3 linked regions of the Cricetulus griseus genome follow. The protein of the gene in region 2 purifies or fractionates together with the protein of the main gene of each other region. This does not show direct contact. Links are inferred from orthologs where the notes say so. Each region holds a gene or a part of one and is shown on either strand. Other genes may lie near its edges. The genes, in order: Asap1, Arhgap12 and tight junction protein ZO-2.

Evidence for each region.
Region 1: the proteins of Arhgap12 (region 2) and Asap1 purify together in Homo sapiens (co-immunoprecipitation; 3 studies listed by BioGRID and IntAct, with this or other methods). This does not show direct contact. The link is inferred for Cricetulus griseus from reciprocal best matches to the Homo sapiens genes ARHGAP12 and ASAP1.
Region 3: the proteins of Arhgap12 (region 2) and tight junction protein ZO-2 purify together in Homo sapiens (co-immunoprecipitation; 3 studies listed by BioGRID and IntAct, with this or other methods). This does not show direct contact. The link is inferred for Cricetulus griseus from reciprocal best matches to the Homo sapiens genes ARHGAP12 and TJP2.

Annotation. Positions count from the first base shown.
Region 1 is NC_048603.1:24,006,840-24,010,486, reverse strand, and holds part of Asap1 (arf-GAP with SH3 domain, ANK repeat and PH domain-containing protein 1), read right to left. Parts: intron 1,655-3,647; coding exon 1,468-1,654; intron 1,076-1,467; coding exon 990-1,075; intron 1-989. UniProt on the Homo sapiens protein: Possesses phosphatidylinositol 4,5-bisphosphate-dependent GTPase-activating protein activity for ARF1 (ADP ribosylation factor 1) and ARF5 and a lesser activity towards ARF6.
Region 2 is NC_048596.1:208,385,905-208,389,551, reverse strand, and holds part of Arhgap12 (rho GTPase-activating protein 12), read right to left. Parts: intron 2,856-3,647; coding exon 2,595-2,855; intron 1-2,594. UniProt on the Homo sapiens protein: GTPase activator for the Rho-type GTPases by converting them to an inactive GDP-bound state.
Region 3 is NC_048596.1:37,108,223-37,112,424, reverse strand, and holds the start of tight junction protein ZO-2, read right to left. Parts: upstream 2,927-4,202; 5' UTR 2,794-2,926; coding exon 2,734-2,793; intron 1-2,733. UniProt on the Homo sapiens protein: Plays a role in tight junctions and adherens junctions. Acts as a positive regulator of RANKL-induced osteoclast differentiation, potentially via mediating downstream transcriptional activity.

The sequences.
Region 1 (3,647 bases), on a different chromosome or scaffold from region 2:
TTTGTCTCCCAAGTAGCTGGGACTACAGGTACTTGCCACTGAGCTTATCCTTATAACCATGCATTTCTGTGTGCTAATACTCAACTTAAAGACCACACAAATAGGAAACCTATGATGTTTCTAATGTTACACATGGACTGACTGTCTACTGTGGGACAGACACTGTTGACTGCTGCTTAGCTTTGCTTTCACTACAGTCCTGGCTGCCTGGAACTCACAATGTAGACTGGCTGGCTTTAAGTGCAGACATCCACCTGCCTTTGCCTCCATGCCCAGCCATCACTTAGCTTTTGTATGTAGTGCCTCATTTAGTCTTCACAGTCACCTCACAAGGGACTATCGGTAGAGTAGCTTCTATCTTGCAGATGAACAGTGTGAGGCCGGTAGAGGCTGCGGTGCTCCCTAACCCAGTTTCCAGACTGGGGTTGGAGCATAAGCGGGCACTCTCTGGAGGCCATACTTTACCCAGTTTGGCCTATGTGAGTTCAACTTTCCTGTCTCGTTGCTGCTCTCAGGATAAGCTCTGTTGCTTATGGAATGGCCCAGTTAGTGTCAGCAGCCGCAAACTCCCAGTGTTCTGCCCTATACGCCCATCAGTGTGTCCTTCACTCGAACTGGCCATGGCTGCTTCATATCAACCAAAGACAATGAAAACCCCCAAGTATAACTGACCTGAGCTGCTAAGAATTCCTGTTGATTAAGGCCACGGGTTGGCCAACTGGAGCTAGTGAGCCATGTGTGGCTCATAATAAATCAAGATTTGCTAGTACACAGCTTCACTAACTCATTTGCAAGTTGCGGTCTCTGGTTGCTGTGACCGAAATGGCAGAGATCAGGGGCTGCAACTGAGCTCGCGTGGCCTGGTAAAAAGACCTTTTAACCGGCTGACCACAGAGCACTCTTGTGAGCGCTGGTGTCGGTCCCCAACAGGACTGGTCTGTGCTAGTAAATCGTTCTCTGCTCATTCAGTGAGAAAACAAAAGCCATACCAGTTCTGTACAAGGAAATCAACCAGATGGAGAGACGTCTGGTCTGCGGTCCTGACGGCAAGGTGAAGGGCTGTCTCCCCGAGCTCCTGAGAAGGAAGGGTGGACAGAGACGCCGTGATCAGTCTGCAACCTGAAGCAATTACCAGGAGCACTCCCACCACTCTCCACTCATTAGACACATTCAGCTAATATACACGCGTCGCATTAAACTGTGTCAGAGAAGTGTGATCCCTTATTTAAACGCCCTTCCTTCCTTCCTTCCTTCCTTCCTTCCTTCCTTCCTTCCTTCCTTCCTTCCTTCCTTCCTTCCTCCCTCCCTGATTTCTTTTTGCTGTCTGAGACAGGATCTCAGCTGTGCAGCCCAGGGAGTGCCTCAGACTTGCTCTAACCCCTGTCACCTGACTCCAAGAGCTGAGCTTACAGAAGTGTGCCACCACGTGCCCTTTTCTGCTTTTTGACCATGACTTGGGCTTCTTACCTGCCCAGCTTCCAGCAGTGGCTCCATTAGCTCCACCCCCTCTGCATAGACTTGGATTAGTGCAAGTAAGTCCCTGGACTTGATGGCCTCGAGCAGTTCGCTCAGCTTGGCTGAGGAGGAGGCACAGGCCTTCCTGGAGAACCGGTGGTCCACGTACTTTGCAGTGATATACTCTTTCCGTGCGGTCCTGAGAAGAACAATGGTCAGGGCATTTCTGCTTTACAAGGGCTGAAGACATTTCTTCTCCCCCTTCCCTTCATCAGCTGGGCTTCTTCCCAAACAACCAACCAGGCTTCAGACCAAGTCCAAGGGAGACAGAACAAGGAAACGGCTATTTGCTGATATGTGTAGGTATTACGTAAAATGGCAAAATTAATGGGCACAAAGATCATAGCTGATTTCTTTTCTACATGCTATGAATACATCAAATTAACAACTTACGTGGCAAGATTTGAAAAGCAGAGACAAAAGTTTGCAGAGCTTCCTGAAGAATCGGTTTTATTTTTCTGCTCTAACCCCTATCATATAGGTGAAAAATTGAACCTCAGAAAGGTTGTCATTAAACCAACCTCACGGGCAGAACTGGGAGTGTTACAAGGACAAAGAAGAGTTGACCTCCCTGTACAGATGCCCTTTAAAAGCAGGAGCTGGGGACACCAGGCCTGTGTCTAGTCACCCTCCCCATGGAGCCTGAAGCAATTCTGGGAGACTGGGCCTACCTCCTGGCCCCAAGGTTGAGAAGAGGGCCCCAAGAGCCCAGAGTCCCTCTGTCACCTACAGAGGGAGACTGAGATGGAAGTCAGCTCAGAGAAAAACAGATGAGAGCCAGGGAGAAAGAACCGGGGTCAGGTGACATCACCTGAAACCCTAGAAGCCTTCTGTCAGTCCCCCTAGTTTCCCACTAGGGAAGTTTGGGCTCAGATTCTACAGTGTACCAGTTATGTGGCATTGGGGAAAGTATTTAAACTGTGAGCTTCGGGTTTTTATTTGAAAATGGAGACATCTACTCACTGGCACATTAGAGATTCATATACTGATTTTGAATTTACATGTATGTATGCCCGAGTTTATATGCTTCATGTGTGTGCTTGCTGGTTCCTGAGAAGGTCAGAAGAGGGTCCTGGACCTCCTGGAAATGGAGTTTACGGGCAGCTATTAGTTGCCCGGCGTGGGTGCTCACACTCCACACAACTGTGATTGTGTAACCACCCGTTTGACTTCTTGGGCAGTGTCTGCCTTCTGGCGAGACTCAAGGCATCGAGGTTTCTATGCAGCATAGAGTGAGCCCACTGCAAGCACGTGCAGAATTCAGCAAAAGACCACTGCTGCCAAGAGGCCTCCCGGGAGGCCTAACTTCCTAATTTCAGACTGACTGTGTGCCCTGTGAAGATTTTAATACTCGTGTGAATTTGGTATCCATGGAAGCCTTGGCCAAATACTTAGGCTGGTGTCCTCTCTCCCTTCACAGAGCCTCCGCAACCAGTGAATAAGATTAGCCTTCCTTCCTATTTACCCATAGCCCTTAGGGGCTGAGGTGCAGACTTTTTAGCATGTGCAAGGCACTGGATTCAATCTGGAGAGCTCTCCCTCTAATTCTTTTTCAGGTACTGGGGTGGAATCTGGTGCCTTTGCCACTGAGCTCATAGTTCCTCGTTCCTAGTTCTTCTCTTCCTGTTAAACTATAAGCTCAGTTTTTTTTTTTTTTTTAAATAAATTGATTTATGGGGCTCAAAAGTACAGTGGAAGTGTATCAGAGAGTGTTTACCAACAAGTCCCATGTCTGCTCCTCGGCCAGACTGCACACTTTATCAGTCTCCCAGTTACTTTCAAGTTCCTTATGCAAACAGGAATTCCAATACATCTGTTGCTAAGGTTTGTATTTGAAACTATCCCCCTTCAGACTCATGTGTTGAAGGCTTGGTGTCTAGGCAGTGACAGTAACACGCTACTGACCAGGCCATGAGGGCACTGGCCTCACTGATGGCTGGATGCACCTGTGGGTTCATGGTAGGATGAACTGGTAGAAGGGGCTAACCTGAGGTAGTGGGTGGCTGCAGCGTGTTGTCTGTGGACGGTAGAGCCTCTCCTTGGTCACTTCTTGCTTGATCTGCTTCCTGGCTGCTATGACTATGGATGGACTCACCACCCTGGGCACAGCGATGGTGCCAGCTGACTATGGA
Region 2 (3,647 bases):
CCAGATAACCTTTTGCTGTGAGTAGCTGTCGTGTGCTGTTAGATAGTAGCAGCACCTCTGGCCTCTAACGCAGTAGTACTCCCCTCATTGTGATAATCAGTCTACAAATACCGCCAAGGTCCTGGAAAGCACATTTTTCTGCAAAGCAGTGTCACCAGGTAAGAACCATTGTTCTAAGAAAACCACCAGATAAGCTTCTAAAGCTGTGGTTCTCAACCCTTTGGGGTCACATATTAGCTATCCTGCCTATCAGATATTTACATTATGATTCATAACAGTAGCAAATTACACCTATGAAATAGCAACAAAAATGGTGTTAGGGTTGAAAACAATTTTATGGTTGGGGGTCCCCACAACATGAGGAACTGCATTAAAGGACCTATTAGGAAGGCTGATAACCACTGCTCTAAGGTAAGACAGAGAGGTGTGACCACTTACTTCCTTTCAAATTTTACAAAAATAACTGTAGGGAATTTTGTCTAAAACAATAGAAAACCCACAAGAACAGGGAGAGCAGAGTCTGCAGATCAAACGCCCAACTAGCCATGCAGAAGAGAGCAGAGTCTAAACTAGCAGACAGGGAGTAGGGGCAGAGGAGAACAATAAACTTACTTGACAGGATTTGGGGATGGCTCAGAAACCAACAGCATTAGAACAAAGGGAAAAAGGGGGATGTGAAGGTCAGGGTACCAAAGACAAGAGGGCTAAAGGTGCCAGAATCCCTTGCTTCATGCCTGTCCTCCTCCTCCTCCTCTTCCTCCTCCTCTTCCTCCTCCTCCTCCTCCTCCTCTTCCTCCTCTACCTCCACCACACCACCACACCACCACCACCACCACCACCACCACACCACCACCACCACCCACCACACCACCCCTGTGTGTGTGTGTGTGTGGGGGGGGGGGCAATCAATAAGATCCTCAGCTGCAAAGCAAAGCACAGTCAAGACATGAATACATAAACTAAGGAAGCATCTGAGGATTGAATGCTGACCTGATGCCCTGGAAGCCCCCATGTTGTAGGCAGAATAGCTGCAAACTTCTATAGAGACCAATCTATCCACATGGAAAGACGCAACAGGTCTAACAGGAGACAAACAATTGACCCAGATAGCCAATTCAAGTGAAGTTTAAAACACTTTGTAATTGTGAGAGAAAATCATTTCCAACCTATAATTCTATACTCAAGCCTTTGATTAATTAAATACAAAAGCAGAACAGGACATTTTCAGACACACGGTCTCATTTTTTCCTCCATGTGCACCTTTCTAGAGAAGTGATAAAAAGATGTGCTCCAGAAACTGAAAATATCACTGCTGTGCCGAAAGTGTAAGTTGAGACCTGATAGACATTCATTTACATAATTAGAAAGCTAAGAAATACATAGAAATTTCCTGTGTATATCTAAATTGTTCTATTAATCTCTAATTTAACCTTTCCTTAATAATTATAAAGATTTCACTATTGATATATAAGATGGTTTATTTTCAAAAAAATCTTTCTAGCGCTGTAATCCAGACAAAAGTTTCCTAACTTTCTCAGTATAGATGAACATTTTTGCTATGGTTTTTCTATTTTTATTCTCATTCGTGAACATTAAAAGTGCAAGTCACCATCAAAGAGAACTATGAATAGCCAACTGAAAAGTAGGACAAGAAGAGGAAGACTAGCTACAAAGCTCTTAAATCCTGCTAAATGCAGGACAGGTGACCCAGCTCCTTGCTGCAGCTCTGAACTTATCTGTGGAGCTAGCTGCTTCCTGTGAGACTTGATGTTCTGTGGGTGACCCAGCTCAAAATGACAGGACTTCACTGCATCCCACCAAGCCTACCCACCTTTTACCTACACTCCTAAGTTACAAAAGCAGAGTACTTCATTAAAATGTCAAGTCTCCCTAAGCACCTGTAGCAATGGAGAGGAAAGCAGGAGAAAGAACAGTCATCTAACTCTAGGAGAAAAGGGTTGTAAGGGAATTATCTCACTTGACTAACCCAACCACAGCAAGGGAATTATCATTACTTCCCTTAACCAGAATTAAAAGGTCACCTTGTATCCGACTGACAGAAAAACTTGAAGGAATTTGACATCGGCAGAAAACTAACAAAGAAAAGAAGGTGACTGCTTTGGCAAGTTAAGTATCTTTGTTTTTACTTCTCTGGCTAGGTCTAGCCACCTACATTCTTTCTTTTTTATTGATTTATGAAATAAGCATCCTTTTGGTGGTGAGGGAGCTATTGAGATGGGCCAGCCTCAAACTTGCTATGAAGCCAGGACTGGCCTTGACACTGATTTTCAGGCCCCATGCCCCAAGTGCTGGAAGCATCAAGTGCCCACATCTGCTGTGCTTGTGCCTCCTGATGCAGTAAAGAGAAGAGAGGGCTAAGGACAGTTCTAACCCAGCCCAAGAAGCAGCAAGTGCTCTTTAAATCCAGCATCTGCACAACAGTTAGAGGTTAGAAAGAAGCTTGAGAAAATACTTGGTATCTAGAGATAAATTGCTCTACCATACTGACACCAAGAAAACAAGCCCTTTCTTACATATCTCAATAATGAAGAAAAAACTGGGTGCCTTACTGGTTGGCTATGATTTACTCATACCTCTAGCTCTCCTGGGCTCTGGAAATCTCGGTTTGTGCCAGTATCCCGAGCCCATCGGGGTGGTTTCCAGGTTCGCTCCTGGGTTGCACGGTTATAGTAGTAGCAACGGCCTGAACTGTCTTTGTGAGTTTCCCATTCTCCATTAACTTGAATTGCTGGGCTCCCAGGAAGTGGAGGGAGAGCTGACTGTGATATTTTCAGTTCCTGCAGGTTAGCATAGACTGGAGAGTCTGGTCTTCCTTGACTAGGGGGTGTGGTTGCCTGTAAAATAAAATTTAAAGCTCATGTTTAAAATGTCATGCCATTTACAAATTGAAATGACATTAAGAGACTTATATAAATAACTATACTAATGTATTTCAAAACGTGGGGAAAATATCAAGAGCTGAGGGTGTAGCTCTCTGATACAACCTTTGTCCAGAACGCTCATGGTCTAATTGTCAGCAATAAATGAGCAAGTTAGTATTTCAAAACAACACAAGAAAATGACCAAGAAATGTTAAAGGAAAATATATAAAAACATGGACACAAATGCTATGATTTAATAATCTCAGGCAGATTGAAAATGTAAGTAGCTTCACACAGAATCCAAAGTGTGTCTGACAGATTCCCTCCTTAAAAGCAATAGTCAATTAACTGACAGCTGTAGGCTCTATTCAAGATCTGCTGACTAGAAGGTTGTACAGCACTAAGTAAGACCACTTCATCTATCCAAAAGTGAAATATTTAACCCATAAAGAAAAGATGGACTTAAGCTACTAAGGTTTCCTTTTGCTCTAAAATTCCAAGATTTTAGATAATTAAGCAAAGATTTATTTCTGTGTTCTGTGTATGTGAATGTATGCTACATGATGCTAGAAGGAGGTATCAGACTCCCTGAAGCTGGGGTTACATCTGTTGTGGGCCGCCCCGTGTTTTGGGCGCGTGGGGGGGGGGGGGGGGAGGGGATATGATGCACAACACACACAGGACAGAACAACAAACGACTCCTCTGGAACACAAACAAATGTTTTTAACCACTGAGCCACCTCTCTAGCTCCCAAACAATTTTAA
Region 3 (4,202 bases), about 170 Mb from region 2:
AGGAATTCCCTAATGGCTAATACTCTTGGGAGATGTTGAAAGGTTGAGTGGTTATTAGTCCTTCCCAATTCCATAGCTGCCCTATGCACCCACACTTCAAGCCACTGCCCAACCAAAGTGGAATGCCTTTTTTCCCCCCAAGGATTGTATTTATTTATTAAGAATACAGTATTCTCCATGTATATCTGCACACCAGAAGAGGGCACCAGATCTCAATATAAAAGGCTGTGAGCCACCATGTGGTTGCTGGGAATTGAACTCAGGACCTCTGGAAGAGCAGTCAATGCTCTTAACCTCTGGGCCCCTTATTTTATTTTCAGCCCTCGGAAAGTCTTCTTAAACAACTTATATTGTACACAAAGCTACAATGACCTAAAGTGACCCCCACCCCCTACTTCAAGGATCTGTCTCCTTCAAAGACAACCTTTTAAGGAGAGAGAACCTTGTGAAAAGAAAATGGTGGAAATCTTGCCATCTCCCAAGCACTTATATGTATTTTGTCAGAGTGCTCACTCCGCACCTAGATATCTGGTTAGCCATGATCTGCTGTCAATGTGCAAGGAACTAGATCAAGGGTTAAGTAAATGTAGGCATAAGTCACTGCAAATGAATTCCCCCGAGGGCAATGAGATGAATCTGGTCGTGTTCCTAAGCAAGCTTCATAAATAGTACCTTTTACTATATAGGGAGTAGAGAGGAGTGTTTGCTAGGAGAACAGCTCTCAGGCCTCTTAGGAGAATCGGACCACTACTAGTACATTAGGAGTTTCTGTGATTCCCACTCCCAAAGTTCTGTTACTGACATTCAAGGTCTCCCCTCCAAAGAGATTTGTACAACACTTTCTATGTCTCAGATTTTTCATTGGCAACTATCTGGCACCTCCTACCTACACTTCTAGACTTCAACTCCTGTATCAACCCAAATCCTTCATTGAAAACCCCACACTTAAATTTTGGGACCAATGACCACTATATACCTAGCTACCCAATCTATGCCAGTGTACTGTGAGGTGGATGCATTCCCAGCAATTCCCTACAGTGGCTGACATCAGGAAGTATCTGTTCATGTGTTCTTTCCTTCCTGAAAGAATTCCCGAAAGGAATGCAGGCAGAGAGGACAATCTCACTCTTTGTTACAGAGTGTGCATCTATATTAAACATTCCCTCCTTCGGTACCAGGAATCCTGTAAAGCCAGATCCATCTAAAGCAGTCTACCATGCTGGTGTCACTAAACTCCTACAAGCAGAAATCCAGTCTCAGTCAATTCTGTAGCTCTTCCAAGTGACTGGCACCAACTAGGCGCTCATCAAATGTTAGCTTGGTGGTACTAAAAAGCTGCCACTGGAGATACCACTCCAAAATATGCTTGAGGTCCTGAATTCAGTCTCCAGCACCACACACCCACAGGAGAGACAATCACTCACACTCACACACACACACACACACACACACACACACACACACACAGTTGTAGGAGAATGTGAAAAGGAAAAAACTCTCCCTTTTATCAATCTTTCCAAGAAGCTATGAGAGGGCAGGGGACAAAACTCAAAGCCAGTTACCTTGGCTAACGCTCCCTCCCTTCCTCTCATCTGCTATAACAGCACCCTGTCCATACTTCTAAATAGCACTATTGGTCTCTTTACTCCTTGCTCGTTTCCCTAACAAAACTGGAGATGTGCATTCCCCACATCAAAGCAATATTATTCAAGAAAATGGAAATTAAGGGGCACTTGTCCTCAAATGCAATTACTACTTACTAATTTCTCAGCTAAAACTACTTTCTTCCCAGGTGAGCCTGGCAGGGCAACTCTCCTGGGAGGATAGATAGACCTGTTTTTTGTAAGGGGTTGTGGGCACAGCCAACAGACCACCTAGTAAGCTGTGAGGAGGTCTCTCCCTCTCTCCTAGGATTCAGCAGTGAAGTCAGGGAGTGTACAGTGCAGGGCAGTTTCTGGGAGGGGATGACTCTTCCCTGGGAACCTCAGGAAAGCCACAACCATTATTACTCAGGTCAGACAGTCGCCAGAAAAGCAACTCAGCCTGAGAACTAAAGCTAAAACAGAAGGGAAGGCTGTATTCCATTACTGAGTCCTGGCAGGTTCCCTCCCAAGTTCTTCACATTTCAAGAATGTGAAAAAGCCTGAGGTCGAAATCCCTGATTATTTATACCTTAAAATAAACTACCGTGTAAAAGCGGAAACCTGACAAATGGAGACATAAAATAAAAGGTACTGATGACAGGTAAGATACTCCCACAATACAAACCATTCATCATTTCTTTCTGGGGTTTCTTCAGAAAACCCATCTCCATTCCCTACTGCAAAAGAAGTTGTACTGCAGAGGCAGCTGACTAAAAAGGAAAGTGAGGATTTGGGTACCCAAGAGTCCTCGGTTTCTCTCAGTCCGTGGCTAGAACCTCTGCATTAAGTTAGAAAGAGGGCACACTCAGGCGTCCAGTCGGCGACCACAGGCACAGAAAGTCTTGGGGACCGACACCAGGGCACTGGGCTCCACACTTTCCCCTACTGGCGATTTCATCTCAAAGCCAAGTGATTCAGAGAGGCCACAAGCCATCAGCGCCGTGCTAGCAATCCTCGCCTTTCTTGCGCCCGGGTCCCCCGAGGAGGACCCTACAGCCCAGAGAGACCAAACCCGGGCACAGAGGGGAGCCACGCGGAGCCCACCCGCTCCCACGCAGCCGCTCGCCGCCAGGTCCGGGAGGAAACTTACGCGCAGCCAGCCCGACAGCTCCCGCCGCGGCGGAAACCCGCGGTCTCCCCGCACCGGCATCTTGCGCGCTCTTCCCGCACGTCCTCCTCGCCGCGGCTCAGAACCACAAGCTGCAGTGGCGGCCCGTACGCCACCACGGGGAGCCTCCCCTTTGTCCCTCCTCCCGCGGCGCAGCCGGCCCGCCCCGCGCCTAGCTGCGCCCACGCCGGCCGCCCGGCCGGGGAAACTCCAACGGCCGCTACCACCCTCGCCGCCGGGGGATGGCTCGCCGGCGCCGCGCCCGAGACCCCGCGGCGGGCAGCGTCATGCGCCCGGACTCCCGGCCGGCGACAGAGGACCTGGGGCAGTAGGAGGTCCCCGATTGCGCGCGTCCCACCGGCACCCCCGCCTCGCTGTCCGGATGGTTCGCTCCACCGCGCGCTTAAGAGCCAGGCAGGTCCGGCCGAGCGCGCGCCCGGGGAAGTGCTGCGCGTTGGCGAGGCTGGCCCGCGGCCGCCGATGTCCCAGAGGTCGCGCGGCGTCCTGATGGACACCTTTTTTTTAGAGAAAGGATCGCGGGGCTTCTCACAGGCAGCGCTTGTGTTCTCTTCCAGAGAACCACTGGGGAAACCCCGAAGCTTTGCGTCGGAAGTGGCCCGCGGGGTCAGCCGGCACAGACAAGTTGTTGCTCCCCAAATTTTGCAGCTCCACTGCTGACCCAGATTCCAAAGGTACAAAGGTCATAGAATTAAATAGTAAAGCGGAACTTTTTAGGCAATGCCGGCCAGGTAACCTCCTTGGCATATCGCCAGCAACTCCAATAAAGAGATTGAAATCACTCTCCACAAGGGTGATGATCCGACAGGATTTATTCAGTCCCCCACCATGCAAGAATCGTGCGCTTTAAACAAACTGTCCTATTGTAAGAGCACATCAAGTATTTAAAATCAAAAGCTGATACACTGATTAAACACGTGATTTGGAGTTAGAGGACAAAGCGTTGCCCACCGCTGTTCCTCCCCTAAATTGGAGGGCAAACTCCAGCCTAGGCCCATAAATTTGATAGGTAAAAAGTAAGAAAGGTCTGAGAGCCCCATGACGAGATCCAGATGCCGGCGGGCTCTCTGAGAAGTGGCTTCACTTCCTGTCTAATCAGGACAAGTTTGGCAGTATATGTGGAAAAACAAGTCTTGCAGATGCTGCCCTCAAAGCGTTATGCTGCTGGCCTCCTTTGGAGTAGGAAGTCCACGCCTCTGAGTAAGTGCTGTGAGTAACATTTCCCACTTTATCTCGTCTCCAGTGGGACGCGGGCTGGTCTTCCCGACCTGCGCGTTGTATTACGCTCCTGATCTAAGCACCTGTTTAAAAATGGTTCCCCAAATTAGGTGGTGCCGCCTTACAGTGGTAATGACTGCACTTGTGAGTCAGTCACACCTTATTTTCACGAGCTTATTACCTCAACAAAGCATCAACAAAGGAAGAAAGGGTCC